Linked DNA regions of Mytilus edulis. Each later gene encodes a partner of the first gene's protein in a complex. Links are inferred from orthologs where the notes say so. Each region holds a gene or a part of one and is shown in the gene's direction. Other genes may lie near its edges.

The links.
Region 2: dynein regulatory complex subunit 7-like (region 1) and dynein regulatory complex protein 9-like share a complex: the UniProt entries of both Homo sapiens proteins name them as parts of the nexin-dynein regulatory complex. The link is inferred for Mytilus edulis from reciprocal best matches to the Homo sapiens genes DRC7 and DRC9.
Region 3: dynein regulatory complex subunit 7-like (region 1) and dynein regulatory complex subunit 4-like share a complex: the UniProt entries of both Homo sapiens proteins name them as parts of the nexin-dynein regulatory complex. The link is inferred for Mytilus edulis from reciprocal best matches to the Homo sapiens genes DRC7 and DRC4.
Region 4: dynein regulatory complex subunit 7-like (region 1) and dynein regulatory complex subunit 3-like share a complex: the UniProt entries of both Homo sapiens proteins name them as parts of the nexin-dynein regulatory complex. The link is inferred for Mytilus edulis from reciprocal best matches to the Homo sapiens genes DRC7 and DRC3.

The regions. Positions count from the first base shown.
Region 1 is NC_092346.1:2,214,775-2,222,609, reverse strand, and holds the start of dynein regulatory complex subunit 7-like, read left to right. Parts: upstream 1-4,826; 5' UTR 4,827-4,866; coding exon 4,867-5,048; intron 5,049-6,178; coding exon 6,179-6,350; intron 6,351-6,845; coding exon 6,846-6,971; intron 6,972-7,602; coding exon 7,603-7,797; intron 7,798-7,835. UniProt on the Homo sapiens protein: Component of the nexin-dynein regulatory complex (N-DRC) a key regulator of ciliary/flagellar motility which maintains the alignment and integrity of the distal axoneme and regulates microtubule sliding in motile axonemes.
Region 2 is NC_092346.1:87,338,855-87,346,783, reverse strand, and holds the start of dynein regulatory complex protein 9-like, read left to right. Parts: upstream 1-4,926; 5' UTR 4,927-4,980; intron 4,981-6,977; 5' UTR 6,978-7,052; coding exon 7,053-7,068; intron 7,069-7,929. UniProt on the Homo sapiens protein: Component of the nexin-dynein regulatory complex (N-DRC), a key regulator of ciliary/flagellar motility which maintains the alignment and integrity of the distal axoneme and regulates microtubule sliding in motile axonemes.
Region 3 is NC_092348.1:7,363,308-7,371,153, forward strand, and holds the start of dynein regulatory complex subunit 4-like, read left to right. Parts: upstream 1-4,840; 5' UTR 4,841-4,963; coding exon 4,964-4,966; intron 4,967-6,596; coding exon 6,597-6,707; intron 6,708-7,076; coding exon 7,077-7,274; intron 7,275-7,736; coding exon 7,737-7,846. UniProt on the Homo sapiens protein: Component of the nexin-dynein regulatory complex (N-DRC), a key regulator of ciliary/flagellar motility which maintains the alignment and integrity of the distal axoneme and regulates microtubule sliding in motile axonemes.
Region 4 is NC_092352.1:28,254,919-28,262,123, reverse strand, and holds the start of dynein regulatory complex subunit 3-like, read left to right. Parts: upstream 1-4,196; 5' UTR 4,197-4,304; exon of another isoform or gene 4,305-4,310; intron 4,311-7,205. Other genes in the region: TOM1-like protein 2, read right to left, coding at 5-151, 989-1,073, 1,969-2,053, 3,947-4,004. UniProt on the Homo sapiens protein: Component of the nexin-dynein regulatory complex (N-DRC) a key regulator of ciliary/flagellar motility which maintains the alignment and integrity of the distal axoneme and regulates microtubule sliding in motile axonemes.

The DNA.
Region 1 (7,835 bases):
TTAAATGATTCACCTTTGTTTCACTTTCAATGTTGACATTCTTTTCTTTCAGTAACCTAACACACTTCAATCATGTGTAATCCATCTCTATCTAAGGGGTTAAATTGAAGTTCGCATTAATACAAATTCAATGAAGTCGATTTATTTACTTGCAAGTGAATAACTAATCATCGAAGTTTTCATCACTTATTTTGACAAAATAGAACTACTGGCTGCTTAAATTGAATTATTATTTCACTGTTTCATTTTCATTAATGATTGAACAAAAAATTCAGAAATCAACTTTTGTCGAGCCTGCGATATTTGTTGCAGAAAGCTTGACATTGGGATAGTGAACCGGCGGCGGCAGCAACTTTAGCTAACTTCTTAAAAGGTTTATATTTTAGAAGGTGGAAGACCTGGATGCTTCATACTTTGTATATAGATGCCTCATGATACAAAGTTTCCATCAGTCACATGTCCAATGTCCTTGACCTCATTTTCATGGTTCAGTGACTACTTGAAAAAGTTAAAGATTTTTTGTAATGTTCAATTCTCTTATTATAAGTACTGTAAATTCAGAAATTATTGCGTGCATTTATTATTGCGATTTTGTCATTTTAGACTTAAATGTGGTTTTTATTTTTATGATTTTGACATTTTGAGAAAAATCCTGTTTAATTCATATAAAACATTTCAAAATGCGAGTTTAAATTATTGCGTTTACAACTCTGTTGCATTTTTCGCAATAATAAAAACCTCGCATTAATTTCTGAATTTTCAGTATTAGGATAACTGTATTTGGCATGTGCCTACCTTGCAAGGTCCTCATGCCCGTCAGTCATTTTTCTCTTGACCTCGACCTCGTTTCATGGATCAGTGAACAAGGTTAAGTTTTGGTGATCAAGTCCATATCTCAGATACTATAAGCAATATATAGGTCTAGTATATTCTGTGTATGGAAGCACTGTAAGGTGTACATTTCCAACTGGCAGGTGTCATCTGACCTTGACCTCATTTTCATGGTTCAGTGGTTATAGTTAAGTTTTGTGTTTTGGTCTGTTTTTCTTATACTGTATGCAAAAGGTCTACTTTATTTGGGGAATGGAATGATTGTAAGATGTACATGTCTAGCTGGCAGATAAGATCTGACCCTGACCTCATTTTCATGGTTTAGTAGTCAAAGTTAAGTTTTTGAATTTTGGTCTTTTTTTCTAATACTATATGCAATAGGTCAACTATATTTGGTGTATGGAAATATTTTATGATCTATATATCAGTCGTGCAGGTTTATTTTACCTTGACCTCATTTTCTTGGTTCATTGCTCAGTGTTAAGTTTTTGTGTTGGGTCTGTTTTTCTTAAACTATAAGCAATAGGTCAACTATATTTGTTGTATGGAAGAATTGTTAGCTGTACATGCCTGCCTGGCATGGTTCATTTGCCCTTTACCTCATTTTCGTGGTTCATTGGTCAATGTTTAGTTTTCTTGGTTAATGTTAAGTTTATATGACAGTTGTAATAAAGCTTTATATTAAGACTATCAATATAATATCAATGATTAGTAAAGAAGGCAAGACATTTCAGCGTGTGCACCCTTGTTTAGGTATCTTGTAGCTAAGTGACCCTTAAATGTTTTTTTTTTATCACTCACAATCTTTATCACACTTTGTAATATGACCTTCATTATAAGGAGCAACCATTTGAATTTATGGGGGGGGGGGGGGGGGGGGGCTATGGTTTTTTTTGGAAAAAAAAATTTGTTTCCATTTTTAGGAGAAAAAAATAATTTGTTTTTGATTCTGAGAAAAAAAATTTGTTTGTTTCACCCTCAGCTGCCACTATATGTAATGCTAAAATTGAAAGAAAAAAATTGTTTTCGACTTGGCGAAAAAAATAATTTGTCCAGAAAAAAAAACCATAGCCCCCCTCAGAAAATCAAATGGTTGCTGCCTAAATGCTCATCAATTTAAGTTTAACAGTGAAGTGCATTGGTTTTATTAGTCATGGAGGTCAAATGCTATAGATTTTAAAATATTTTATATTTCTTAGCATCATGATAAGATTTCCTTCCTGACAGGAATTTTCTGTGCTATTGTACATTTCACACAACAAATCCCGTCATCTTCTCCCCCTTAAGTAATCCTAGTCTTGGATAGGGAAAACAACCAAGACCCAAGGAATACAGATAGATATAAATTTTATGCAGAAAACATAAAAAAAAGACATGACAAATACAAATACAAAGATTTTTTATTATAGGATTAAACCGGGGCGATTAACTCACAAACTGAATAAAAGTCCTTATGTAAAGTTTGTGGCTAAGAGCCCCGTTTACACATCAATGACCTCTAGAAAAAATGTGTTTAATTCTTATAATTCTAAAGCCAAATATTCTCGATTTTTATTAACATTTTTTTTGGTGTAAAGCTACTATAATCACCATCACATGCACAACTGACAGGTCGTAACTAAGGAGTTGGCCGCCATCTTGACTTTCTATAATTCATTAATGTTCGATAAATGCAATGGAATCTAAAACAAAATAGCACCTTCCTCCGAAATTTCATTTTTAAAATGAGATATTATTCGAATTTGAAGCTAGACGTATTAAACGAAATGATCTTTCCCCTGAAAGTTTTCATTCGTATGACGTTGTGTTTTGCCATGACGACAATTCGCCAAATCCTTCATGAAATTTCGCAGAATTTTATTTAAATTAATTTTTATACATTTTCGTAGCTTTAGTGCATTCATTTAATTTCTTTTTTGTTATTATGCATTAGAATAGAAACAACTGTTATGCATTTGTTTTTTTAAATCTCAATTTGCTGAAATTCCCAGTATCCCTGCAAGAATGTGTATCACGCATGAATAGATTACGAAAGTAGATTTGGAAACATGGTTTATCGAAGTGTAAACCTAGAGAAAAATTCTAATTGACCAATTAAATTCAAGTATTTATAGATATGCAAATCATATAAGAATTATTGTCAAACATGATGCCCAATAATTTTAGCAGTCCAATTAAGTTCAATTTCATACAAGTGATTACATATTGATTACATTGATTATTTAACAATTAAACAAAATCAAGTCTTTCTCAGCAGAATAATTTCTACAGGAATAATATGTATAGTTTTACAATATAATATAGATGGACAAACTACTGGTGACGTAATTGTTTCTAGTATTTAATTTCTCTCTTTGAATAAAGTACACAATAAACTTACTTTTTAAATTATAACATTATCCTTAGATGACATTAACCATATTAATTTTGATTTAGTTGGGAGGCTTTTAAAGTTTTTGTTTACCTTATTTAAGTAATTTATATATTCAGATCTTTTATTTTCTAAAACAGGACACTGAAGAAGAAAATGAATTTCATCTTCAACTTCGGTGTTGCATAATTTACATATTCTATCCTCCACTCGAGGCCCCAAATATCTGCCTCTTTCAATTTCTAATTTATGTGCACTGACTCTGAACTTAGTGAGCAGTCACCTTTCATCGTCATTCAAAATTAATAAATATTTTTCCATACAAATATTTTCTTTACATAATCTGTAAGTTCTTAGTTTATTTCCATGCTGTTTATTTTGTCTATCATTGTAAAGTTCAGATTTCCAAATACAAGAATATTTCAGTTTTAATTTCCGGTAAATTAGGGATTTTAAATCCATCTTTGAATTTTTAACAAGTTTAAGATCTATATATCAAGATATTTCATAAGAATAACAATACAACTATACCAACTATTTTTGTTTAAACTATTTAGTGATGTAGAGACACTCAGAGCTTCAGAGAGAAGGATATCATCAGTCTTTAATACATATTTATAATATCTAAACATATTTAAAATTACTTCAAGAAATAAGGGACAAAACTATAATAGAAGAAGGGCGAAAGATACAAGAGGGACATTCAAACTCATAGATTAAAAAATAAACTGACAACGCCATGACTACAAGGCAATAGACAAACAGACAGACAATAGTACACAAAATACAAAAATAAAGACTAATCAACACTTACCCCACCAAAAACGGGGTATTAATCTCAAGTGCTCCTGAAAGGCACCCATTGTATTGTTTATGTTATTACAAACCCTGTAAAAAGTATAATTTTGGTAGTTATAATAATTGGGTTTTTTTTATCATTTCTTTCGTTTTTATATTAGATCTCCAGAGGTAATTACAAAAACAAACTGATTATAAAATAGTACTATTCTAACAAAAATGCTGAACTCCAGAGTAATGAAAAAAGATGAAGCTCACAAAACAGGACAAAAACGAACACCAACTAAGAATTTAACAAAATTAAACAATTCTGCACTATTCACATCATATTCATAAAAATTCAAAATAGATAACTTCAAAATTTAAGAGTAGTCTAGTGGTTTTAATTTTAAATATTTAGATTTTTTTTATATATAAAATTATAAACAATTATAATCCTGGTACTTTTGATAACTATTCCCAAACATAAAAAAAGACACCTACGTCCCTGGACTAAGTACTAGTCTTATTTAAATTTTCTGATTTGTAATATTTGAGATCAGAACTATGTCAAGCTTTTTTTGAAAGCTAACTTTGTAACTAAAACAAGGGAAATAACTGTAAAAGATTACCGGAAGTAAATTAATAGATTAATGCGCGACTATCTTTAATTAGCAATTAATTGTTTTATGATTTCCAGAAGTATTTTATGCAATTTAAATACCATGATTTGTTATGCTTTAAATTTTGACTAGCATTACGTACATATCTATTTTCTGAGCGATCATGATTTTTATATTGTCGATGCACTATATTTCAAAGAGAGTTTGTTGCTATGAGCGCGTATTGTGTTTAAATAATGAGTTGTTCGTCTCGTTTGTAAAATCATGGCTTCGGAGGACGAATTCGCTTTACCGAGTGAAGATACAAAGACCCCCGATCCAGATAAAGATGAAGATGAACTAGGAGAAGAAGCTGAAGGCAAAACAGCCGAAGAATTAACCGACGATGCTGAGGCGTTGAAAAAGGAGCTTGACAAAATAGTGGTGCATCCTCCAACGATTCAAGAGTAAGGCAATGTTTTGATGCATTATATCCATTGCCAAGAATAAGTTAAAGAGCGAATTGTAAATAAACAAATTAATAAAAAAAACTATGCCCTCAATATGGTCATCACCACAACTTAATTAGCTGACTGTCAGCATGGTTTTATATCTGTATCTGTATGGGTACGTCGTAGCTACCAATAGGGCTCTTCACGGTTAGTTCGGCCATATTGGATAGGGGGCAGATTTTTTGGAAGGAGGTGGAAATGGTATGAAAGTGTGGGAAATCCTATGTGTGTTTCCAAGCAACAGCTCTGTTTTAATGATGTTTTCCCGTATTTTTCACACCATTTTTACCTCTATTATGAAAATCTGCTCCCTATCCAATATGGCCGAACTAACCGTGAAGAGCCCTATTCTGGCTTTTATACAACGGGAGTGAAGGCGCCGTCGATTTATTGATGTTTCACCAGAGCAGATTTAAAGCTCTCTACACTTGTTGCGCGAACAATAGTGTCTTCTAGATGGTTCCAATTTACTATTGTGGACACAAAAAATGAATTTGAATGTTGCGGTGTTTTACTAGTAGGAATGTCAAAACACCTGGTATTGTTCCTCACATGTTTTTCAACTATGTTTGTGGCTTGAAAATTTTTAGCTGTGATGGTTCGTCTTGGTCTTGCTGATTTGAGGAAGTCGTCTGGATCAATAGCGGGGCTCATGCGTCTCAATTTTAGTTCCTGTAGCTCTATTTTTGTAAGCATGTTTGTTATGCAGCCTAGTTCTGTAGTCGCCTGTTATAAAGCGTGCTGCTTGCCTTTGTATTCGTTCTAGCTTGTTTGAAACTTGTATCTGTTCTGTTTTGATATCACAGGCACTTACTACTGCTAGTTGCTACATAAACTATCATATGATTCAAAGATACCAGGCTTATAATTTTGTATATCAAATATTTATCAGTAAAACCAGAATCAGAAAAGTGCCAAATAAAGAAAGAGTTTATAAAACTAATCCCACAGTGGATATCAAAAGACCAATATACATACAAATAAATTATATATACATGTATCCTTACATTGAGTGCATGCTTTATCTAGTTATTAGACCAGTCTTCACATCTAATGAATTTGATTTAATGCTGATTTTTTTCCAGACTAACAGCCCAGGAATTTGATCCAGCAGAATTCCCTGCTTCCTATAAAGACAATTTACCAAAAGAAAACTTGGTGCTACAATATGCAGAAAATTTTAGACTACAATATGTACACTTATACAGAGACAGGAAACCTCTTCTTCTCAACCCAATCAATGAATGTGGGACAGAGGTAATTAATTATGAATGAGGCTCTTACAAAATACATGTTTTTCTGCTATAAACCCGACCAACTCTAATCCTCAGATTATTTTGTTATTATTGCAAAAGCTCTTTTAAAATCAGATTGTTTTCCCTGTTTAAACCAGTTAAAAAATGCTTGAAAAATAAATTCATTCTCCTACATAACCTATTTTTCAGCATGATAACTGAATAAAACAGAAACCCAGGTATTACATGTACATGTAATATTATTTTGGTCAATAGATTAAATCACTTTTGTATAAGAATTTTCTAAAACCTGAATTATTAATTATATGACCACTGAGTTTGATATTTTTTTCTTGTATGTATGATGAGTTCACCATTGATCACTGCAAAAGAGAGTTTAGAAGGGTTTATTTAACAGGCTGTATTGCTTTCTTCATGTTAAAATTTCTATTTTATTTGTAAATTACATTTAATAAATGCATGTATGTATATATATATATTTTATTTGTGATTTTAGAAATTTGTATGTACAACCATCAGACCAACACAGATTGAATTTAAAGAATTTTACGGTTGGGAGGGAAGTTCAGAATTTGTTGCAGATTATCTGAATTTTGAGACATTAGAGCCTCCATATGAATTGGTAATTGTCATAATTTACAACAACAATTTTACATCAGTCAAATGGTAGTTTAAATTAACATCTTAATAATAAAAAAATTTATGTTTTATTTGGTTACAAGTCTCAATGATTTATTAAATTAAGTAGTAAATGCAGAGGTTTCATAATGCAAAATGTGAAAAATACAAAATATGAAATTTATTAGTTTGACTCATGTCATTTATTGACAAATTTATGTTATTAAATATCCAAATAGTAAAAATGTGCATTATAATCATTTTGATGTGAACCAATCCAATGAAAAATGTGTTGAGTTTCTGATTTAACAGTATTATTTTTTGTACTTTTATTACATCAAGTCAAGATTTAACCATAGATTATTTTTTTGTTAGTAACTATATTCTTTAAGCTTCAAAATATAATAAACTTGTGTAAAGATATAACATCCCATAAAAGAGAAACTTACCAGTACTCTTGATCAATATAAATCATAAAGAATACATTTTCTGTCCTAACAAAATTAAGACTTATATGGTTCTAGAGTCAGGATAGAGATGCCATAACATTTTATATTTGATTACTTGTTTCATTTGAAAAAATAAATGGTAGTGATAACATTGAATTGTATTGATATCTTTGTCTTTTTTTCCAGCCAAAGAGGTTGATATCGCCACCATCTGTTTTAAAACGTCAGAAAGGGAATTGTTTTGAGTACAGTACATTGCTGTGTTCCCTGTTAGCTGGAGCCGGTTACGATTCTTACGTTGTCAGCGGGTATGCTACACATGAGACATGTCTCGCAGACGAATCGAGGGAGATCTGTCCACTGATGAAAAAGAAAGAAGAGGTTTGAATATATATAAAATAAATATATAAAATGAATAT
Region 2 (7,929 bases), about 85 Mb from region 1:
TGAATTTAGGCAGTACTTATCAGTAGCATAAGAGGGTAAAAGTACCGGGTACTGCCTCTTAATGAATGGCCTGAAAATTAACATTTGAACGAAATAAATCAAGCTGTTTTCTAGATGGATAACAGATTGGCAAATATAGACATTACTTGGAAAGAAAATAATCAAAAATTGGAATAATATCCCAAATGTATTCAAGCTTGTCTAACCGATGAGCACTCTAATCAAGGAAAGCGTCTTAGTTCAGTAATGGGTGTTGGAAGGTATGGTACATACTGTTTGGGAAATGCACAACTTAAGCAGAGACTAAATTGGTTTTGAGCCGACTTAATATAGGTTTGTTACTTAAAAGGCAAGTGCATGTCGACATGAATGTGGGCAGTATGCAGGTACATGTATAAGAAGTTAATATGGTGATTGATATAGTAAAACCATGGAAGTATTATATTGACAGGAACTACAACGATTTATTAGCACTTATTTATAACCCAGGGAGCTCTGTAGAAAAGATATGGAAACTGACTAATTAGTATGTTATCGTTAATAGCCCTTTGTGACCATGTGCGATGCCGCCGTCCTAAACTGACCAGACATACTTCTTATCATCACGTGGTTTTTATTGCGAAAGGTTATCTCTAATACCTGTCGGAAAACCCCTTTGTGTATTTCAATCTCGTCTGTGGTCTTTCAGAATTATTCAATTTTTCAAAACAAATCGACTGATGTACAAACCAAGAAAATCGGACGAGAACTTTGAATACTACAACGTTTTGAAATGGTGAGTGACAATATTTCATTAGTTTGTGGGTTAAGTTTAAATCGTAATTAAGGTGTGTTCCGGTTACCGCCGGTTAAAAATAAATATATTTGATAAAAATAAATACTGTGAAGTTTCGAGTAATCTATATAGTTAAGGTACTGGATAATCCTGGAAAGTATAAATTTCCAGTTTAAAATACGAAAATTAATCGAACAAGTACCAACATCAACAAAATACAGCAGAAGAAAACAGAGATCTCACTTCGTTGTGTAGCTATCTATATAATGTTGGTTAATATCTTTTTAATTGTGAATATAAAAACTTCATGTCTACCCGCAATTGAAAGACCTTTCCGATCATATAAAGCCATGGTCAGTATTTTATCATTTGAACATGTATGACTATGCCAATATATATACTAGCCAAGATTTAAAAAAAGTCTTATGACCCGAGTATTGTTTTCTCACAAGGACAAATCTTAAAGTTATCAACTTCTACTGTAAATCTAATACTTTATATATGCACTTAAAAAAAACAAGGTTTAATGTCTATACCAAAAACGTAAACTGAAACTGAATTCAGTGATGTATATTTGGCAGTCAGGATATTTCATATATAGTTATATACGTAAAGCCTTATTTAACATGGTCCATCGATGCCAATTTGCAATCCAACACATTGTATGTGCTAAAATTTTATTTTGCACTCTTTGCTTTTACATTCGATAAGATGTGACGAATCATCCGATTTACACGAACAATATATCTCACTTTCAAAATGTGAGGACAAAAATCATCGGGTATATTATCTGTCTCAAATTCATCCATTGTCAAAGTGTTTGTTTGGAATTAATGATTGTATGTCTCGTTCTATTCATCTACACACGTGTGTATAAACTGTTTCCTTAGGATTTATGACAACATCCGCTTTCTTCTTGTATTTCCGTACCCCGGAAACGACCGACACATGACTTTATCGCAATGTGCCACACACTGGTGTATTAATATAGTGCCATGTTTCAAGTTAATTAACATGTCATTAAATGGTACGCGGCATCGCAGATGAACCGTTTGAAGTCGGGTCGTAGTAGTTCCTGTAGGTATGGCAAACCAATGGGAGATAACTCCAAATTACCCTAAATAATTGTACCCAGATGTGTGTAAAAATAAAATCTTTGGGTGACCTCCAATTACGGTCTTTTATTAACTTGTTAAGTCTCAGAAGGTTCTGATTGCTTTTGATAGATATTATATGAATATTCATGATTCTGTATATTATAATTTTCGGGAATATGATGAAATATTTGAGGTACAAACAAGGGTTTGAAAGTTACATTTGTTTCAAAAAAATACAAGGGAACTTTATACAGCCATAAAATGTACTTTTTTATTAAGTTTAATATATTAATTAAATAATAAGGTCCAAAAAATAAATCTAGATAGCTGTGTTCATATCAAAATTATTTTTTATAAATTACCCTCCTTTTTGTGTATACAGAGTTATTTCCCTTGCATGGACAATTTTTGGTTAAGTTTTGATTGGAATTCAGCGGTGATAGTTTTTTTTTTTGCATTATACAGCCAGTTTATTGCCATTTAACGATAGTTTAACCACTTGCCATTGCACACGAGGTAGTAAGGATACTGAATAATGTGGTTTAACAACAATCAATATACATGACTGTATGTATTTTCAACATGTTCAACTAAAAACATACATAGGAATCCATGCAGTAGCGGCAGTTCAATTCGAATGCTATTCACATTTAATGCATTTCGAACTTCAGTCCTGAATAAAATTGGTTTACAGATTTCACTGTATAAGTATTGTAACTGATATACAGATATGAACATGATGAATTTACTTTACTTTTATACATACAGGTATTTACAGTACATAATCTGACATAATTATTTTCTTTGAAATTTCTCAAAATAAAAATAATGTTTTTATTTTAGTCATGTAGAATAATTGTTAGAAGGTTGTTGTTTATTTTTATTTATAAGCATTCACTATACATGCCATATAAGATTAAGATATATTAATTAAATAGAATGTTAATGAAAAGGGAACATTCTAAAACTATCACATGTATCATGACTATACAAAACTTTTCTTGTCTCTCATGGTACAACTGATTTTTATAGTTCATTCTTATGTTGTACTGTCACAGGTCAGGGGGAGGATTGGGCGTCCGCTAACATGTCTTCTGACATCAGACTCGGACTTCTCTTGAATTGAATTTTAAATGTACGTATTGTTATGCGTTTACTTTTCTACATTGGCTAGAGGTATAGGGGGAGGGTTGAGATCTCATAAACATGTTTAACCCCGCCACATTTTTGCGTCTGTCCCAAGTAAGGAACCTCTGGTCTTTGTTAGTCTTGTATTATTTTAATTTTAGTTTCTTGTGTACAATTTGGATATTAGTATGGCGTTCATTATCACTGAACTGGTGTATATTTGTTTAGGGGCCAGCTGAAGGACGCCTCCGGGTGTGGGATTTTCTCGTTGCATTGAAGACCTGTTGGTGACCTTCTGCTGTTGTTTTTTCAGTGGCCGGGTTGTTGTCTCTTTGATACATTCCCCATTTCCATTCTCAATTTTATTAACACCGCCACATTCTGTATGTATGTGCCTGTTCAAAGTCAGGAGCCTGTAATTCAGTAGTTGTTGTTTGTTTATGTGTTAAATATTTGTTTTTCATTTATTTTTTTTACATAAGTTAGGCTGTTAGTTTTCTCATTTGAATTGTTTTACATTTGTCATTTCGGGGCCATTTATAGCTGATATGCGGTATGGGCTTTGCTCATTGTTGAAGGCTGTACGGTGACCTATAGTTGTTAATTTCTGTGTCATTTGGTCTCTTGTGGAGAGTCATGTCTCAGATGGCAATCATACCACATCTTTTTTTATAGTCACACACACTAACATACATTTGTATATAAAGAGTAATATTCATATTTATATTTTGTTTCTTTACATTCAAATGTTTATAAAGTTTTACTTTACATTTTCAATATACCTGATGCTCTGAAAAAAGGAATATGTAAAGGTATCGTCATGTTATGTGACTTTGGACGATACAATTTCATGAGAGTGGTCGACATTTTCATGCTTTATGCTTCTATTTTGACCAAAAACCTGAATATGGAGGATTGAAATTGACTAACAAGATGTAAAAGAAGCAATATAAACAAAACTATAACCCAAATGATTAAAAAAATATATTTTATTATTTTTTAAAGAGAGGAAACAGTTTTTCCAGAATAGTAAAAAATTTTCGTTTTGAAAAGTTGCAATTTCTTCGTTGTTATTATGTGTATAGATAAAAGTGAAACTGTTTTGAAAATGTCTTCACAATGCCTTTTAAATGAGGTAAAGTTTTCTAAGATCGGTTGATTTAAAAAAAATCACTTTCCGTACCTAGTTCCTGTCAATATAATACTTCCATGGTAAAACTAAATATTATTATACAAGTGAAGAGTGGCAAAAGATACCAGAGGGATATTCAAACTTATTGAGAACAAACTGAAAAACTCATGGCTAAAAAAGAAATAAACAAATAATACTTAACAAGAAACAACATTAAGAACATAGAAAACGACTTAGAAACAACACCACAAAAAACAGGGTGCTCTGAACATTGATTTCAATACTATTCTTAAGCGATTGTCCATACCAAATTATACTAATCAAGTGTAACAGGTGCGATATATATATATACACGTTGTTGGTACTATCATCAACATTTTTAGCACATATTTATCTTTTTTTTAAATGAATCTTGGAATATGCGACAATGCAAACTGTCGCAAAAAGAGGAATAATAGTTTGTTCTCTACGAAGATCTTCCTTTTTACATTATGGGGAATATCAGTCAAGTTGTCATTGATTTAAAGAAAAATATCGTGAAGATCTATAGTAAATAATCCTTGTTAAGACCTTAAATCTGCGTATATCAGTCGTTTGAAGCCCCATCCGTTTATTCTAGTATGAACAATGACTTATGTATAAAATAAAATTTAAGTTTGCTTTAATAAATATAAATTATTATTTAAGGAAAGCATTATTTTGTCATCATAAACATATATTTTCATCATGCAGACCTGCTGAAAATTGAAAAAGGAAACGGAAGTTGATTTTTTTCTTAACTTCCGGTTTCGGCGCATGCCACCTAGCAACATGTAAACATAATGTTATGCCAGTTTCAGTAAAAAAAAAGGTATTTTATGGCATTATTAATGAGATAAGGGAAGCAAAAATTCACAAATTGCATGGCAAATATCTCAAGATATATATGAATCACTAAAATGTCATTATTACAAGTAGTTTTACACGATATCGTGCTGTGCAGAGTGGTTAAGGCAATATGATCATATGGCAATGATAAAGTATTTTAAGCATGTTATTATTGTTAAAGTTCCAGATGCCAGAGACAAATTATTTCATCAAATATACTTCATAACAGGACAAATTCCAACAGATCTAGACAATTTATTAACAATCAATTTGCCAAATGCAGAAAATATCAATCAACTATTAGCGGAGTACATAGAGGAAACAAACCGTTTTAGTGGATAATTTGATACAAATTTCTTTAAATTTTTTATATTTTTAATTTTTCATGCCATTTCAATAACCTAATAAACCATTTTTTAGATTTATTTCACTTCATACAATAATTCTATAATATTTTTAAAGCGCCACCTACAATATATAAGTACAAAGGAGAAACTACATTTGTGATAATTATTTTACAAGAGAGGATAATTTACAAGAGAGATTACTCTGTCATCACGACAAAGATTGAAGATAAAGTTCCTGTGTTGTCTGTGAAATTAATATTGACCACACTTTTATTCATACATGTATAGAACAACAGCAGATTTGAAAAATTATAATAACTTATTTTCTTTTGTTTGTAATTTTCTGTATTCTGTTGCACAGACACTTGTCTCAGAAAAAAAAATGCTATATACCCTTATATAACACAAGGTATTTAACTCGCATTTTTTAAACATGTCAGAATGTCACGAAATTCCGTCATATACCTATTTCACAGTTGTTAACCCCACTAAAACTTGTAATTTCGTAAATCTAAATTGATTTATCTACACAATGGTGTACATTATATCACACCTACTTTTGTTGTCAGAATCATCCGTAGCAATCCTACCAAAGTATGTCAATCGTTATTATTTTGTCTACCGACTACAAGTGCCTGTGTTCTGTTGTCAATGTCGCTGTTGACACTGGATTGTTTCCCTTGTAAACGTTAAAGTCTCGCGTGTACAATTTCACTCCAGATGGTAAACAACTCACATGTACTTTAGATATATAACTTATACATGTAGGTGGCAACTGAACTTAATATATTTTGACAAAAAATTTAATTGTAATTTTTGATTTGTAACCGGAGGGCATGAATTAAACAATTTTATTACAAAATTGCTTAGTTTCATACCTGGGATATGAGCCCTCTGAGTCAGGAATATGACAGTTCTTGTCCATTCGTTTTTGATGTGTTTTGTCATTTGATTTTGCCATGTGATTATGGACTTTCCGATTAGATTTTCCTCTGAGTTCAGTATTTTTGTGATTTTACTTTTTATAAGGCAGCACACTAACTTAATGAGCTTGAACTTCCTTAGCTCAATCGCTTACAGCTGACTAAGTATCTAACCACATTTACCAAGGGAAGCAATTCACCCGTCAAAGATTTATTCTGATGCTAGAGTTTTGCTGATTTTGAGTGCTAATAGTTTTTGCTATTTTAGTGCTTGCATTAGCCTTAACTTAACTCTATATGATTTTATGCTAAACTAATTCTTTTATTTGACAATTGTGTATGTTTAAAACTATTGTGTGTTTTGTGTTGTCCTATTGTGTCTGAATGCACTGTATATGTACTTTAATTGATTATCACTTTATGTATGTCTGTAATAAGCTTGCTCTGAGCTTATGTTGTATTGTTGACTGCTAAACAATTCATTTCAAGTTGAATTCGTTCTAAACCTATTTGTCTAAGATTTAATCAATTCATTCCAACTGATTTTGTTCATTATTACCCACAGGGACTTAATAATTTGTTCCTACTTTTTTAAATCAGTGTACAGTGTGAGTTGAAGTAAATATCAATTCAAAGTTTATGTTATATATATTTCATATAAAACTTATTTGAATAATTCAATTGATTTGATTGTAATATTTATTTTTAGGAATTGTTGAGAAAGAGACACTTAGTTTTGCTGTCCACATACTTGTAGAGTGAAGAAAAAAGACAAAGCCAAAGATGTCATTAACACAAAGTAATAACTTTTAAATTGTGTATCACTATTCATTTACGTATCTCATTCTGAAGCCCCATGCTATATTTGTTGTAAACTATATATAGGTATACAGGTAAACCTCAAGACTAACTTGTCATGAATCTTGGTCCATTCTCCCAATGTCACATTTGCCTCCATTCGTTTTTGAATCCCACAACTTTGCACCCTGCGTTCATTTTCACCATTATTAAAGGTTTCCTTTTCAGTTATTTTTAAATTGTATTTTAGTAACCATAGTAACTGTAAGTAAATCTTACGTAATATTACGTAAATGTATAAGCATACCATGACATGTTGCTACTTAAAAACAAATTTTCAAATCAATTTTTGTCGAGCCTGCAACTTTTGTTGCAGAAAGCTCGACATAGTGATAGTGATGTGGCGGCGGCGTTACTTAACTTCTTAAAAGCTTTATATTTTAAAAGGTAGAAGACCTGGATGCTTCATACTTTGTATATAGATGCCTCATGTTACGAACTTTCCGTCATTCACATGTCCAATGTCCTTGACCTCATTTTCATGGTTCAGTGACTACTTGAAAAAAAAGTTAAGATTTTTTGTAATGTTAAATTCTCTCTTATTATAAGTAATTGGATAACTATATTTGGTATGTGCGTACCTTGCAAGGTCCTCATGCCCATCAGACAGTTTTCACTTGTCCTCGAACTCATTTCATGGATCAGTGAACAAGTATAAAAAAGAAGATGTGGTATGATTGCCAATGAGACAACTATTCACAAAAGACCAAAATGACACAGACATTAACAACTATAGGTCACCTTATAGGTTTTTCTTATACTATATGCAATAGGTCTACTATATTTGGTGTATGGAATGATT
Region 3 (7,846 bases), on another chromosome or scaffold:
TACTGTATTACCAATATTAAAAAATGATGAAATTAATAAACTAGAGGAACTGGTTATAAGTGAGCAGGATGTTGAAGATGTGCTTTTGAATCTTGATATTTCAAAAGCTACAGGGCCTGATTTAATCAGTCCAAGACTCCTGAAGGCGGCAGCAACTGTCTTGAAGTATCCATTTACAAAACTTTTTAATCGATCCCTACCAACAGGGTGGTTTCCAGATGTGTGGAAACTAGCAAATGTTATACCTGTATATAAGAACAAAGGTGGCCCAGAATTTTTACTTAATTATAGACCTATCATGCTATATCTTTGCTGTCTAACATTGGTAAGACAATGGAGAGATGCATTTTTAAATACCTTATTATTACAAATTCGTTATTAACAAAATACCAGTCAGGTTTCATCCCTGGTGATTCGACAGTAAACCAACTGCTATGAATTATTAACGATTTTGGTAAAGCATTAGATGAAGGGAAAGAGGTCAGGGTAATCTTCTCTAGTCGAGCTTTCGACCGAGTTTGGCATAAAGGCTTACTTTATAAGCTTAGAAAAATAGGAATTAATGGTAACTTGTTACTTTGGTTTGAAAGCTATTTAAACTCAAGAAGGCAACAGGTTGTCATTGGTGGAGAAACGTCCAACAACGAACATGTCTCAGCTGGGGTACCCCAAGGGTCTATCTTGGGTCCTATTTTATTTCTCATTTATGTTAATGACATAATTAATGACATCGAATCTGATATAAAACTTTTTGCTGATGACACCTCAATTTATATAGTGGTTGATATCGAATATGAAGCGGCAGAAATGCTAAATAAAGATATTGAGAAAATACATACTTGGTCTAAACAATGGCTTGTCTATTTCAACCCAAACAAAACAGAAATAATGACCATTTCAAAAAGGCACCATTAACCCCACCACCCGCCAGTGTATATGAATAATAATATAATAAAAGAAGTTGAGTTGCACAAGCATTTAGAGGTTATTATAAATGAAGATGGAAGCTGGAATAACCATGTAAAAATGATTATTAATAAGGCTATTCCTAGATTAGCATTATTCCGAAAGTTAAAGTTTAAATTTAAAAGGAAAAATTTAGAAACTATTTATTGATCTTTCATACGCCCAGTCTTAGAATATGGGGACATTGTCTGGGATAACATACTAAATTAATTAAAAACATCTCTGGAAAACTTACAACTAGAAGCAGCAAGAATCGATACAGGTGGTACTAAGATATCATCGAGACGGTTGCTGTGTACGATGAAACCGGTTGGGAAACTCCAGTCTCGACGTGATAAACATAAGTTATTAAAATTTCATCAAATGTTTCACGGAGATTATCTTTCTGTGTTAGTTCCAAATCAGAGACTAGATCTACACGACCACAGGACTAGGGGTCTTCAAATTTACAAACTGTATTATGCAGAACAAGCTATTATCAAAAGTCATTTCTACCAGCCGTAGTAAACCTTTGGAATAATATTCCACACGACATTCGTCTAAATCAATCAAAATCGGGTTTTAAGACTTATCTCTCTCAAAATAATAATAAAATACCATTGAACTTTCACTTAGGCTGTAGAAGAGAACAGACATGTTAAGCAAGACTAAGACTCCAGAGTAGTGTTCTAAGGGACCATCTATTAAAAAAAATCTAATTGAGAACGCACTGTGTACCTGTGGTCGAGTAGAAACTACCTCTCATTATTTCTTCAAATGTCCAAAATATAATGAAATTCGAAGGGATACTATCGGGACGATCTCCTGTTCTAATCTTAAGATTATCTTATATGGGGACAGTCTAAAAGCTGACGAGGACAATGTGCAAATGTTTCATAAAGTTTCTGAATACACAAATAAAACAAAACGTTTTGAAAGTTAATCTAGTATATGTATATATATATATATTATATATATAGACTTTTTTTTAATATGATGTAAAATCGAGTGGATTGCCCGGCGTAATTGACAGTATAGTGAGTCTATAGTCGGACGTGTGTGTTGGTTCCAGTGACTGTCTGGAAAAGTAAATAAGAGTTGACTGTTTTCGTGTTTTTTTTCCCTTTTTTTCCACATTTTTTTTTTTTCACTTATTTTATTTGTTGTATTTTTTTGCGTGTGTGTGTTGGTATTTATTCATTTTATTATATGCTACCATAAACTGAATATACTGTTGGCACGTAATATTGTTTGTTAAATAGATGGTGTTTTTTTTTAGGGAGACGGATTTATAAAAGTTTTTCCAAACTTGTTTCCGAATCCCATATTTGAACTTTATGTAACATTGTAATATTTATCTTGACATTTTTTATTAATAAATACTGTTTAAACTAACTGTTCAGTTTCTTGTATGTTCCTCTATATTAATTATGGAGCACTACTCATATGGTATAAACTGTAGCAACTTTTTACACATTAAAACACAAGAGGGCATATAAACTTATGAACAGATAAATGAGAAAAGGCAAAACTTTTATTAATTCATAAGATAGTCATTACAATTTTAAACCATAAAATAAAATAATCATTAAAAGTTGTGTAAGATCTGAATATAATAACAAGTAAAAATTTTAAATTAATAGTTTAAATTAGTTTTCAATTTAAATTCAATTGGCTAGTTAAAGGTGCCGTTCTTACATCAGAATTTATAATGAAAAGATTATTTAACTAGAGGCTCTAAAGAGCCTGTGTCGCTCACCTTGGTCTCTGTGAATATTAAAGGAAGCAGATAGATAGATGCATGACAAAATTGTGTTTTGGTGATGGTGATGTGTTTGTACATCTTACTTTACTGAACATTCTTGCTGCTTAAAATCATCTCTATCTATAATGAACTTGGCCCATTAGTTTCAGTGGAAAATGTTAGTAAAAATTTACAAATTTTATGAAAATTGTTAAAAATTGACTATGAAGAACAATAACTCCTAAGGGGTCAATTGACCATTTCGGTCATGTTGACTTATTTGTAAATCTTACTTTGCTGAACATTATTGTTGTTTACAGTTTATCTCTATCAATAATAATATTCAAGATAATGACCAAAAACAGCAAAATTTCCTTAAAACTAACAATTCAGGGTCAGCAACCCAATAACGGGATGTCCGATTCATCTAAAAATTTCCGAGCAGATAAATGTTGACCTGATAAACAATTTTACCCCCATGTCAGATTTGCTCTAAATGCTTTGGGTTTTGAGTTATAAGCCAAAAACTGCATTTTACCCCATGTTCTATTTTTAGCCATGACGGCCATCTTGGTTTGATGGCCGGGTCACCGGACATATTTTCCAAACTAACCCAAAAGATGATTGTGGCCAAGTTTGGATTAATTTGGCCCTGTAGTTTTAGAGGAGAAGATTTTTGTAAAATATTACTAAGATTTACGAAAAATGGTTAAAAATTGACTATAAAGGGCAATAACTCCGAAAGGGGTCAACTGACCATTTCAGTCATGTTGACTTATTTGTAAATCTTACTTTGCTGAACATTATTGCTGTTTACTGTTTATCTCCATCTATAAAAATATTCAAGATAATAACCAAAAAACAGCAAAATTTCCTTAAAATTACTAATTCAGGGGCAGCAACCCAACAACGGGTTATCCGATTCATCTGAAAATTTCAGGGCAGATAGATCTTCACCTGTTTAACAATTCTACCCCATGTCAGATTTGCTCTAAATGCTTTGGTTTTTGAGTTATAAGCCAAAAACTGTATTTTACCCCTATGTTCTATTTTTAGCCATGGTGGCAATCTTGGATGGTTGGCCGGTCACCGGACACATTTTTTAAACTAGTTACCCCAATGATGATTGTGGCCAAGTTTGGTTTAATTTGGCCCAGTAGTTTCAGAGAAGAAGATTTTTGTAAAAGTTAACGACGATGACGACGACGGACGACGGACGACGACGGACGCCGGACGCCAAGTGATGAGAAAAGCTCACTTGGCCTTTTAGGCCAGGTGAGCTAAAAAGGGTGTTATGTAAATGAGTGAAGGTTTGAGCAAATCAACGTATATACATAAGTACCACACGCCATAGTATTACTCTTTAGCAATCACGGACGGCTTAAATACGGAAAATAAAAATAAATCTAGATTACACACCAAGGATTTTGTATTTATTTGTTTAGTTTATTTGCTATAAATCAGTAACAGTGGAATTACCAAAACTTTTATAAGGGGGGGGGGGCTGACTGAACTAAGGTGATTCGCTATATAATCAACCAAATTTTTCACGAAAGGGGTGTCCGGGTAATATTTATTTGAAAAATAATGATTTTAGTTGAAATAATAGGACAAATTTTTTTAGTGGAAACTCACTTTTGTCCACTGACTGTATATCACAGCAAGTTTCTTCTTCCGTCATAATTACTAAGTTCAACTTCTCAACAAGTTCAAGATCCCCAAGAAATCAAGGTCTATGTATGCCGTATAATTTTTGAAATTTTTCAAAGTCTCTCGAGCATGTTTGGGTTGATCTGAGTATAGTAGTCTCAGGGTTGATACGGACCTGAATTGGTACAGACGCTTTTAAGTTATAAACACACAAATATATTGAAAAATTAACAATAACAGAGACACATAACCTGAAAAGATATACGTTATTTTGCGTCTAACGATAAACGGGTGCCGTCGCCAGAAATTAGATACGTGTTTTAGCGTTTTCTTTTTAACAGTTACCTATTTACTTTAGAAAACCAGTATTCTAAAATTTACGTAATTTTTAATATATTTTTCTCTCGAATAAATTTATGATGATAAAACTATTTTTCACTGTCTTTGACATTTCGATTGGTCCAAAAATCAAATAAAACGTACACAGCTAATTATCTCGTTGTCTTGTACGAGATTATGTGTTTATTTACATCCGGGGACCGTCACCTGGACAACAAGTACATCAGAAAGGGGGAACATACATTTAACATTTTGAAAACAAAGAATCCAGGAACATACTGAACAATGGTAGGTTTATGGATGACTCTTAGTGAGATATTCAATCCCTCTTCCTGTCTTACCCGTTTTTTTTTAATTCTACTACACAAAAACGACAAAACAACATGAAATTTAAACATGTTATGCAGTTTTTGTATTTGAAATACACATGATATTCTAAACCAATATTTTGATAAATTGGTTATTTTCCTCTTTTTTAAACTTTTATTACATTATTGTGTATAGTTTATATGGTAGTATGTTATTGACCTGATCATTTATCAAATAATCTGTAAAGAGGATTCATTGCAAATAGATTTATCTTTATCTGCTGACTCAGTGACTGTTCAACCTGTCTACCTATACTATAGTATGTAAATAAAAAGACAACCTGTTGACTTATTTCTCTTTCAAACTGATTGACCGCTTTTTCTTCAGATGGAACTACTATCTGTTTAGTGTAAGAAAATAATTAACTGATTGAAACATTGGTTTTGGTGTCTGACACTTTAATTTCCGAGGCCTAAAACTTTCAAAAATAGAGTAAACCCACGGACTTATTACTACTGATCATGCTTACTATTGAAATTTGCATAGGAAACACCTTCTTCCAGCTTTACCATTTGTGTTGATTTGGAAAGTAGAGGACCATATGATAAGTGTGTAAAAACTGTGGAGTTATTGAATGTATACATGTATGGTATCGGGTCCATTTGCCTTAATAACATGTTCGCCCTAGGTCCGTTTGCCCGTAGAGTCTGTTCGTCCTACTAAAATGATATTCAGGTCATTGAATTCGAAGTTGGTTAAACTTATTTAGATAATTATGTGGTACATATTTTTGAAATTTAGGGAAACGTAAGGAATCATTTAAAAGTTTATGGCTTTTTTAGGATTGATAATTGTTCAATGACATAATAATTCTCACTGATTGTTGTGATACTTGTCTTTTGATGGATTAATAATAAAAACAAACATTTTGTTATGATAAACCAGGAACTTTCTATACTAACTAATTACTAAATTAATACATTGTATTCCAGTATACTATGCAAATCAAAGGGAAAATAATATATATTGGTTGCTGCAATACAAATATTCGGTAAATTTTCAACAAACTTTAACATATTCTGTTCAAATAATTAACATTATGCAACTGGACAACAATTAAAAAAAAAGGTACATGTACGTAGGGCAAACGGACCCTGGGCAAACAGGTATCTGGGCGAACAGGTACTAGGGCGAACGTGAATCAGGGCGGACGGACCCAGATTCAATGTAAGTAATGTATAAAATTTTCAAAGAACTTATTTAAAAGATTTTTTACCCAGAGGATCCACATCACAAAAAGATTTTCAAGGTGTGCTAATTTATAGAAGAATGCAACTCACTTTGAACCCAGAAAATTTAACTATGTATGTGAAAAATGTCTCCACTTCAATACAAGCCATCGTACATATCTAAGTTAAGATATAGACTGAGCTACAGAAGAAATTGTTAACATTACTGGCTATTTAAAATCAATTAATCATCCTGACCCATCTATTAGCATCTCTTGGTCTTTCAGGTCAAGAAATATAGAGCAACAAATCATCAAAATTGACACTTAGTCTTTATGTACCTGATATATCTTTTTTTAAATGAATTTTCATTTTTGCAGCCTCCTAAAAAGAAGAGTGGAAAGAAGGGAAAGAAAGGGAAGAAATCTGGAAAGGCCAAATCACCAACAGTTATAGATGGAATCTCAACAGAAGAAATGTCTAAAGAACAGGTATACATGTAGACTTCTGCTTAAAATAAAGTGTCAGAAGATACCAGGGATATTCAAACTCACAAACACAAATGAAATATCACAGCAAAAAAACAAAGACTGAGCAATATGGACCTATCCAAAAGATGATAAAAGACAACGAAAACACAAACAAATATACTTGCAATATTTTTACCTTGTAGTTGGAATAATTTATATTTTGTTTATCTCTAAATTCTTGAAGATTTTTTTGATTGCAAATTATGTTGCACAAGTTTATAAAATGCAAATTGTTTACATCATGTTAATATTGCAAAATTTTTTGTTTCATTAAAAAGATCAAAATGTTTGACTAGTATCATTACAAAAAGTTAAATGTTTTAATTACAGTTGGAAGAACACATACAAAGATTACGTGAGGAATTGGAACGTGAAAGAGAAGAGAGAAACTACTTCCAATTGGAAAGAGACAAGGTCAACACATTCTGGGAAATCACAAAAAGACAGTTAGAAGAGAAGAAAGCAGAACTTAGAAATAAAGACAGAGAAATGGAGGACTCAGAAGAAAGACATCAGACCGAAATAAAAGTAAATTTAAGAATTGTTTTTCAATCATATTCTTTTAACTATCTTTACATTTCCATGTATGCTTCTTTCATAATTTCCAAAAGCTACTTTGTCATGTTGTAGAAATAAATTGAAATGAAACATTCAAAGTCAGATATTTTGTAAAAATTTTGACAAGATTGCTTTCATTATAACTATTACTGACATAATGTGTTTACAATATTTTCTGAATATCTTTATAAAAGAATGTCTCTTCGTTTGTAAAATAAATGCAAACAGGAATTTCTAAATTTAAACTATCAATAATTATCTTCTTCAAATATTTTGTATTCAAACATGAAAATAAAGTAGAATCTGTTATATGAACATGTAGATTTGTATTATATTTAATTATGACAGAATGAGATTTGATGAGTATGATTTTATCAGTGAAAATCATATCTAAATAAAAATATTTAATGATTTACCATTTTATATTTTCAGGTTTACAAACAAAAAGTGAAGCATTTACTGTATGAACATCAGAAGAATATAACAACAATAAAGTCACAAAATGTATCTGCCCTGAAATTGGCACAAAATGATCAATCTAA
Region 4 (7,205 bases), on another chromosome or scaffold:
TTACCTGTATAGAACTTAAGACTTTTTCTTGAAGAACTGTTGGTGGGTCGTATTTAGGACCAATTATTTTGACTAAGTCACCCATAAAATCTTTTGTGGCTACTTGCTGGTGGAATTTTTTTCCACAATTCTTCACACATGTCTCCAAACACTAAATATACAAAGAAATAATATACATTAGGTACAAATAAAACAAATAACTGATTTTGTATAACAAGTAAAAATAAAATAAAATTTGCCAAAACCCTGAAAATATAAATATTTAGGTCTAGTAATATCATCAATTAATTTTTCATGATTGGGGCTTGAAATATTGTCGCAATTGGTGGTTGACACTGATCAGAGATAATTTTGAAGCAGCGTATTAAAGACTCAAAATTCCTTAATGTTTTTAAAAAATTTAGCTAAAATAATCTATTCCTCAACAATCGATTTAAAGTTTTGTAAACATTTGATTTATAAAATAACCATTTCAATGATATACCAAAGTCACTACTGTTTTAAAAATTCTTTGTTGGGTCTGACTGGTCACAATATTAATTTAATTGGGCTTCATCAGAAAGAATTTTTTTTCTTGATGATCAAGTTTTATTTTTAAAAATATTCATTTTCAAACTCTGAGATCATAAACAGCAATTACACACTTTCCCTTTGCTTTTAGTGTTTTTTGCTATACATTTACTGATTGTGTGTCACTGATGGATACACCATATCCTTTGTTTTTTCTTTTAATATATTTTCATGATGAAGTTTGAATATTTTTAGGAATAAGTTTTTTTTAATTATAGGAAATTTCATGTTGTTTTCGTAATGCATCAACAGGCATGTACATTTTATGTCAATACAAATTAATATAATATATTGTTATTATCTTTGAATGTCATCTAAGTAAAATAAAGATTAAATAAGCCAAGTTTTTCATGTCACATGTTTGACCTTTTAACATACATTGTACAATACTTAAAGAAAGGGGAGTCTAGAAACTTACTGTTAAAGTGTACATAACTGCAGTGTGATTCTTTCCCATATTTTGTGACAATCTTTTCTTAATTGCTTTAATAGCATCTTTTGGTCTGTAAAATATACAGAAGAACATTTATAATTTATATAAATCTAAATTCTTCATAAATAAGCCTCAAAGTTGCACGAGATAAAATTTAGGATGACCACTAGTAGGAACTGTTGTTCTTCAGTGGCAAGAGATAAGACCTACAGACTGTTGCATTAAAATGGAAATCTTTACCAATCACATTATTCAAATCATATTAAGCATTACCTGTTAAATCGTGCATTCTGTATGTGCCTGTCCGAAGTCAAGAGCCAGTAATTTATTGGTTGTTGTTTGTAGCGCATGCTGTGTTACATATATTGTTTTTTCGTTCATTACTTTGTAAATAAATTAGGCCATTAGTTTTCTTGTTTTCTTGTTTTACATTTGTCATTTTAGGGCCTTTAATAGCTGACCTAATGGTATTGGCTTTGCTCATGAATGAAGGTTGTGGGGTAATCTGAAGTTGTTAATTTCTGTGTCATTTGGTCTCTTGTGAAGAGATGTCTCATTGGCAATCATACCACATCTTCTTTTTTCATATTTACTGCAGAATTACTTCTGTGAGAGCACTATTGTGAAGGAATGGTACAGTTAAAAAGACTTGAAAAATCCAAAAAAAATCAAAAAAATTTATACATTACAATTTGTAAATTTTCCAACCAGAACATATCATTGTCACTATATGTAGTATAGTAAAATATTTTATTATAGCAAATGTTAATACATCTGACAACTTCTATCAAAAAATATCATGCACCTGATATATTAGACATCCACTCATTCTACTGGCTGACCATCCTTATCAAAACAGTCTGTTCTATTTCCAGACTTGATATGACATCAAAACACATAAATAAAGAGGCCATAAACATACTTTTAAATGACTTTAATTTATATAGCTAATATAAGTATCATACCCTTCATCAGTGTCATTAATTACATCACAGATTTCCATAAACAGTCCCCAGTTTTCTGATGCTTGTGAACCATCAGTGCTTTTTTCTGAAAATAAGAAAATCACAATAGAAAACATGTTTTTTCTTTACCTCATTCTTTTAATTTTTTCTTTTATCATGTTTAAAATACAATATGATTGCACCATAATCTGATAATTGTTGTGCAATACCCTTTAAATGTTAAAATCAAAGATGTTCATAGTGCACCTGCTGACAATTTTCTTGGTTTATATTCATTATAATTTAACAAACCACACATTTCAACTCAAAAGAAGTTTATTGTTGTTAGTAATTATTGTAGCCACAAAAATTTGGTCAACACAGGGTGCAACGACGGACGCTGTCATGGAAAATGAGCAAGTTCTAGGAGTGGGAACTTGTAAAATATTTCACAATTGATTCAGTACACTGTAGGGAGTCAAATCTGGAAATAACTCTCCCAACAGGAACTTGACTTAGACTAAAACTATTTTCATTTGTATTTGTTTACAAGTACAACATGTCAATTAAACATTTATATAGAAAACTGTGTGCTACTCTGTACTCTCCCATTAAGGTTTTAAAAAATCCACCCCTTACTCCTTAAAGTTTGCTCAGGAATAAATGCATTTCAGTTTTCAATTGAATAGTAAATTTGGTGATTGAATAATTGTTCTATGTTTGTTTCACCGTTTGATTGATTATTGGTGTTTAACACATCTTGAAGCATTATCAGCTACAGCTACGCATCCAAGTTTTAATGGTGGAGAAAGCTGGAGAGTGGAGTCAGAACAACCTTCAGCACACCTGCCACATGCAGGGTTTTTACAATGTACATACAAACTCAGTGTTGACAGGCTAGTGATTGCTGTAGATAAACTTCTAAGACCATCCAGGCCCTGGTTTATCAAGGGAAACACCAGAATTCAGGAAACTGCTAGTTTATTTTTGCATACTCTAACAATCAATGTTATTATGTGGATAAAGTTCAAAATTAAAATTGCACAAACAAGTGTTTAATTCATAATATGCATTTAATTTCTCTATATTCATGTTCAAGATAAAGTTACAACTACTTATAACTAAATTATTTTCATGAAATTGACCGTTTCAGAATCTAAAGCATCATGGGTAATTTCATTGTTCGTACCCCAAAGTTAAAATAACGTTACGTCATTGGTTGAATTTCCATTGTTTATAACGTTTTAAACCAATCAAAACGCTTTGGTGTACGCTTTTGAAAATATTACCCAGAATGCATTAGATTCTGAAACGGCGAATTGTTTTAAAATTTGTTGCAAGATACGATGATCTTACCTTGCTTACAGTCTTACTTAGTTCTTGTTGACATTTGCGATTTCATTGAACAGGTTGGGAACAAACCCTCTATATGGTGATTATACCTGTATAGAGGGATAATCCTTCTATAGAGGGATAAAATTTTTGTTTAGACTGGATTTGCAGACACACTTGATTCCTTCAAATGTCTGTGTCATAAGAGAAAAATTCTGATGTCACAATGCAAGTGATTTTTCATGACAGCAAAAGTTAGTGTTTCGAAATAATAGATCATACATTGGTGATTTTCAAATAGTGATACCGTAAACATGAATAAAAAAATTCAAACAGTCACCCCTAACTTTATCCAAACATGGATGATGGAAGGAAGTTAGGTTTGGAAATTAAGTCAGGAATGAAAGTGCAGCAATGACAGTATTTTCAAGTATGTTCATTTTTTAAAAGAAAAATATAGAATAGAAGTTTAGAGCAAAATGATGGTCAAGGTATCAACTATGTCTCAAAAAATATTTATGGTCTCTTTTTTTTATTCAGACTTTCATTCTATTTTCTACCTTTCTCTCCTAAATTGGATTGACATTGTGTTTTGTTGTTATGTAAGGGAGTGTATGTAATGTCTCATCTTAAATATGGGCTGTTACTTCTCACTATAAGCTCTTACCAATCATCTGGCCTACAGGTGTAGCCAGAGGATTCCCATGTCCAAAGAGGGCAGCCATTTTTTTTGTAAATATTGCGTGACGTCATTTGCGTGATCTATTTATAGAATAGTCTTGTGACTGGCATAAAATTTCGACCAATATTTAAAATAATAATTTCTTTCTTCACGTTACAAAATGTTTGGTTTCCTCTCATATTCAAACATCATTTTAAAATACATATTTTCGTGGAACGGAAGTACTTTTAGAACCGGAAATAACAGTCGACATAGAAACAGGACGCCATTTCCCACAATTTTTGAAGCTTCAAATCGACAAATGTGAGAAATCATTGAGGTTACAGTCGTTTCTACTCAAAAGGTTAATGTCATCTTCAATAAATTACAATGAATGATATAGTTTTAATAATTAACAACTGCCACTCGCATTTACTAATATTTAAAACAAATAAACAAGCACTCAACAAAACCAAAATAGTCAATAAAAAAAAAGACAATATCCCTCTGTTTTTCAGGGTTGCATTTCATATGTTAGAAAATATGACCGCTTGATGATTGTGGTGTGACATGCCAAACAATGACGTCATTCACGTTTGCCCTAGTACTAGTCTAAATAATTATGACGTCATGGACGTCTTGAAAGGCTATTATAATTTTTTTCCAAATTTCTCAAATTCCAAATTTTTGAAAAGTTTGAAGAAATCTGTAATTGCAAAATATTGCATAATAGATTTGTAAGATCTTGACATTTGTTTTGTGTCAGAAACTCATATTATGTCAAGAATTTGATCACAATCCAAATTCAGAGCTGTATCAAGCGAATCCAGGTCCTTTCGCGCCCATTCACGTTCGCACCCACTCATGTTCGCCCCCTTTCACTTTCGCACCCTACATGTTCGCACCCAAAGTATGTTCTCACCCTACATGTTCGCGCCCAATATCAACTTTGTAATCAAGTAGTATTCTTATAAGTATTATTGTTTTCATTGTCTCAAAATAAAGTGATACAGCATTTTTTTTTGTGTTGAATAAATCTTAATCATGTTTTGGATAGTGTATTGTTAAAAAAAAAAATATTCCTTTCTAAATAAAGTGGGATTCTGTCAACATTTTATTTTGTGTTGAATAACTCTTTATCATGTTTTGGTTAGTGTATTACCATAACTTTGTTTCATTGACTTGTTTCAAAATGAAGTCAGATTCTGACTATGTTTTTTTATTTTTGAGTCTTGAATAAATTTTATCATGTTTTGGTTATAATAGTGTATTGCTATATTTTATTGTTTCATTGTTTCAGATCAAAGGGACCAAGCTGTTAAAAACAATTATCTTTTGTGTTTTTCATTTATAATCTTCAATCTTTTACTCATACCAAGCTATAAATACATTCAGTATTTACCCGAAAGCAATTAAAAACAACAATGATGATTTTCCAATTATTCAACCGGAATTTGAATAAAAATTGGGCGCAAACGTGTAGAGTGCAAACGGACCTTGGGTGCAAACGTGCGAGGTGCGAAAGTATATTGGGCGCGAACGGACCTGATACCGTATCAAGCTTGCATGAATGTTGTGTCCATACTTGCCCCAATTGTTCGGGGCCCTTGTTTATTTTGTTTAAGGTACAGCACTGATGAGAAGCTTACATAAATTAAAGCATGGACATACATGTACAATGTATGTGTCCCACTCCCTCTGACACAGTTTGTGTCGACACATGTCCGGCAGCAAGAGGGTTAAATCATAATGATTTTTATAAATGTCTATCTCTTACAACCACAATTTGTAGTTTGTGTTTTAAAATTTATAGAGAGAAGAAATCTTTTTTTATCATCTATACATCTTTTCATGTCAGAGATTACTCTGATGTCCAACAGCAATTTTTGGGCAGACAAGATCGTCTGATATATCTAAAAGTTGATATTTGACTTCCTAAATGTATGCTCTGCTTCATTGCTTCTACAATAGAGTATACTGACTGCATTGTCCATATACATTGGTCATCAATTTGTTCATTTTTTTATTTTTCTCATTCATGTAAGTGTCATCTGAATCCTAAAAATATGTTCTCCCCCTCTTTATTGGGTTTGTTAAATAATTTTGTAATCTAGATTTGGCAAGTGTATTATTATTATCTATTAAAAAATGAAAGATGAAATCTGAATTATGTTTGAGATTGTGTATTGCTACAAGACAAGACACGAGTGAAGACAAGATAAATACTTTATTAAAGTCTCACCACTTGTTACATATAAAATATACAGTTTTTTAAAACACAAATTAACAACAAGAGCCACTCTATAAAGAGTTATGAGAGATATAAAAAAAATATTCTTAAATTATACTACAAATACAACTTAAGTCAACTATCATGAATATAAAATACATTTTTGCTTAATTAAAATTTCAGAGCAGATTTTGGCAGTTTTGACATGTAAATAAAAAAAAACATTGTTTCTAAATCAAGTGAGATTCGAACAACGTTTTTTTGTGTGTTGAATAAATCTTAATCATGTTTTGGTTACTGTACATGTATTGCCTTAATTTTTTTTGTTCGTTGTTTCAGATCAAAGGAACCAAGCTGTTAAAAACAATTGTTTTTTTGTGTGTTTTCATTTAAAATCTTTAATGCTTTTCTCATGACAAGCTAAATACCCACAACATGCAGTGTTTACATCATAGGCTTGAAGCAAGTCAAAACAACAATCATGATTTTCTAATAATTCAACTGGAATTTGATTTAAAATTGGGTGCAAATGTGCGAGGTGCAAATATGTAGTGTGCAAAAGTATATTTGGGTCGAATAAACCTGATACCGTTTCATCTACCTGCCTACCATTATCTTCTCATATTATTATTGTAGAAGAAATACGACATTGATATCCTCATCCTCATACATAAATGTGACAGATCACTTTTTAAAAATATTCTGGGATTGTCAATGGATGTAAATTTCTGTCTAGACTTTAATATTTTGTTATTTAAAATTTGTCAGACTCCGATTCAATAGAATTTAGCATAATCTCATGACCTTCGTCAGTTTTTAACAGCATGAGTGAGTTCCTTCTGATTAATAATCAATGTACATGTAGTTTGTCATAAATCTTAATATGTGAATTAGGTTTTTTTTTAATACAGTATTACCATTTTGATGACAAAACAAGAACTTGGACCTATGTCATTTGTTTTAAATTTTCATAACTTTAAGACTCTAATAATACATGTACAAAAATGAACATTGATTGAAAATAAGACAATCATC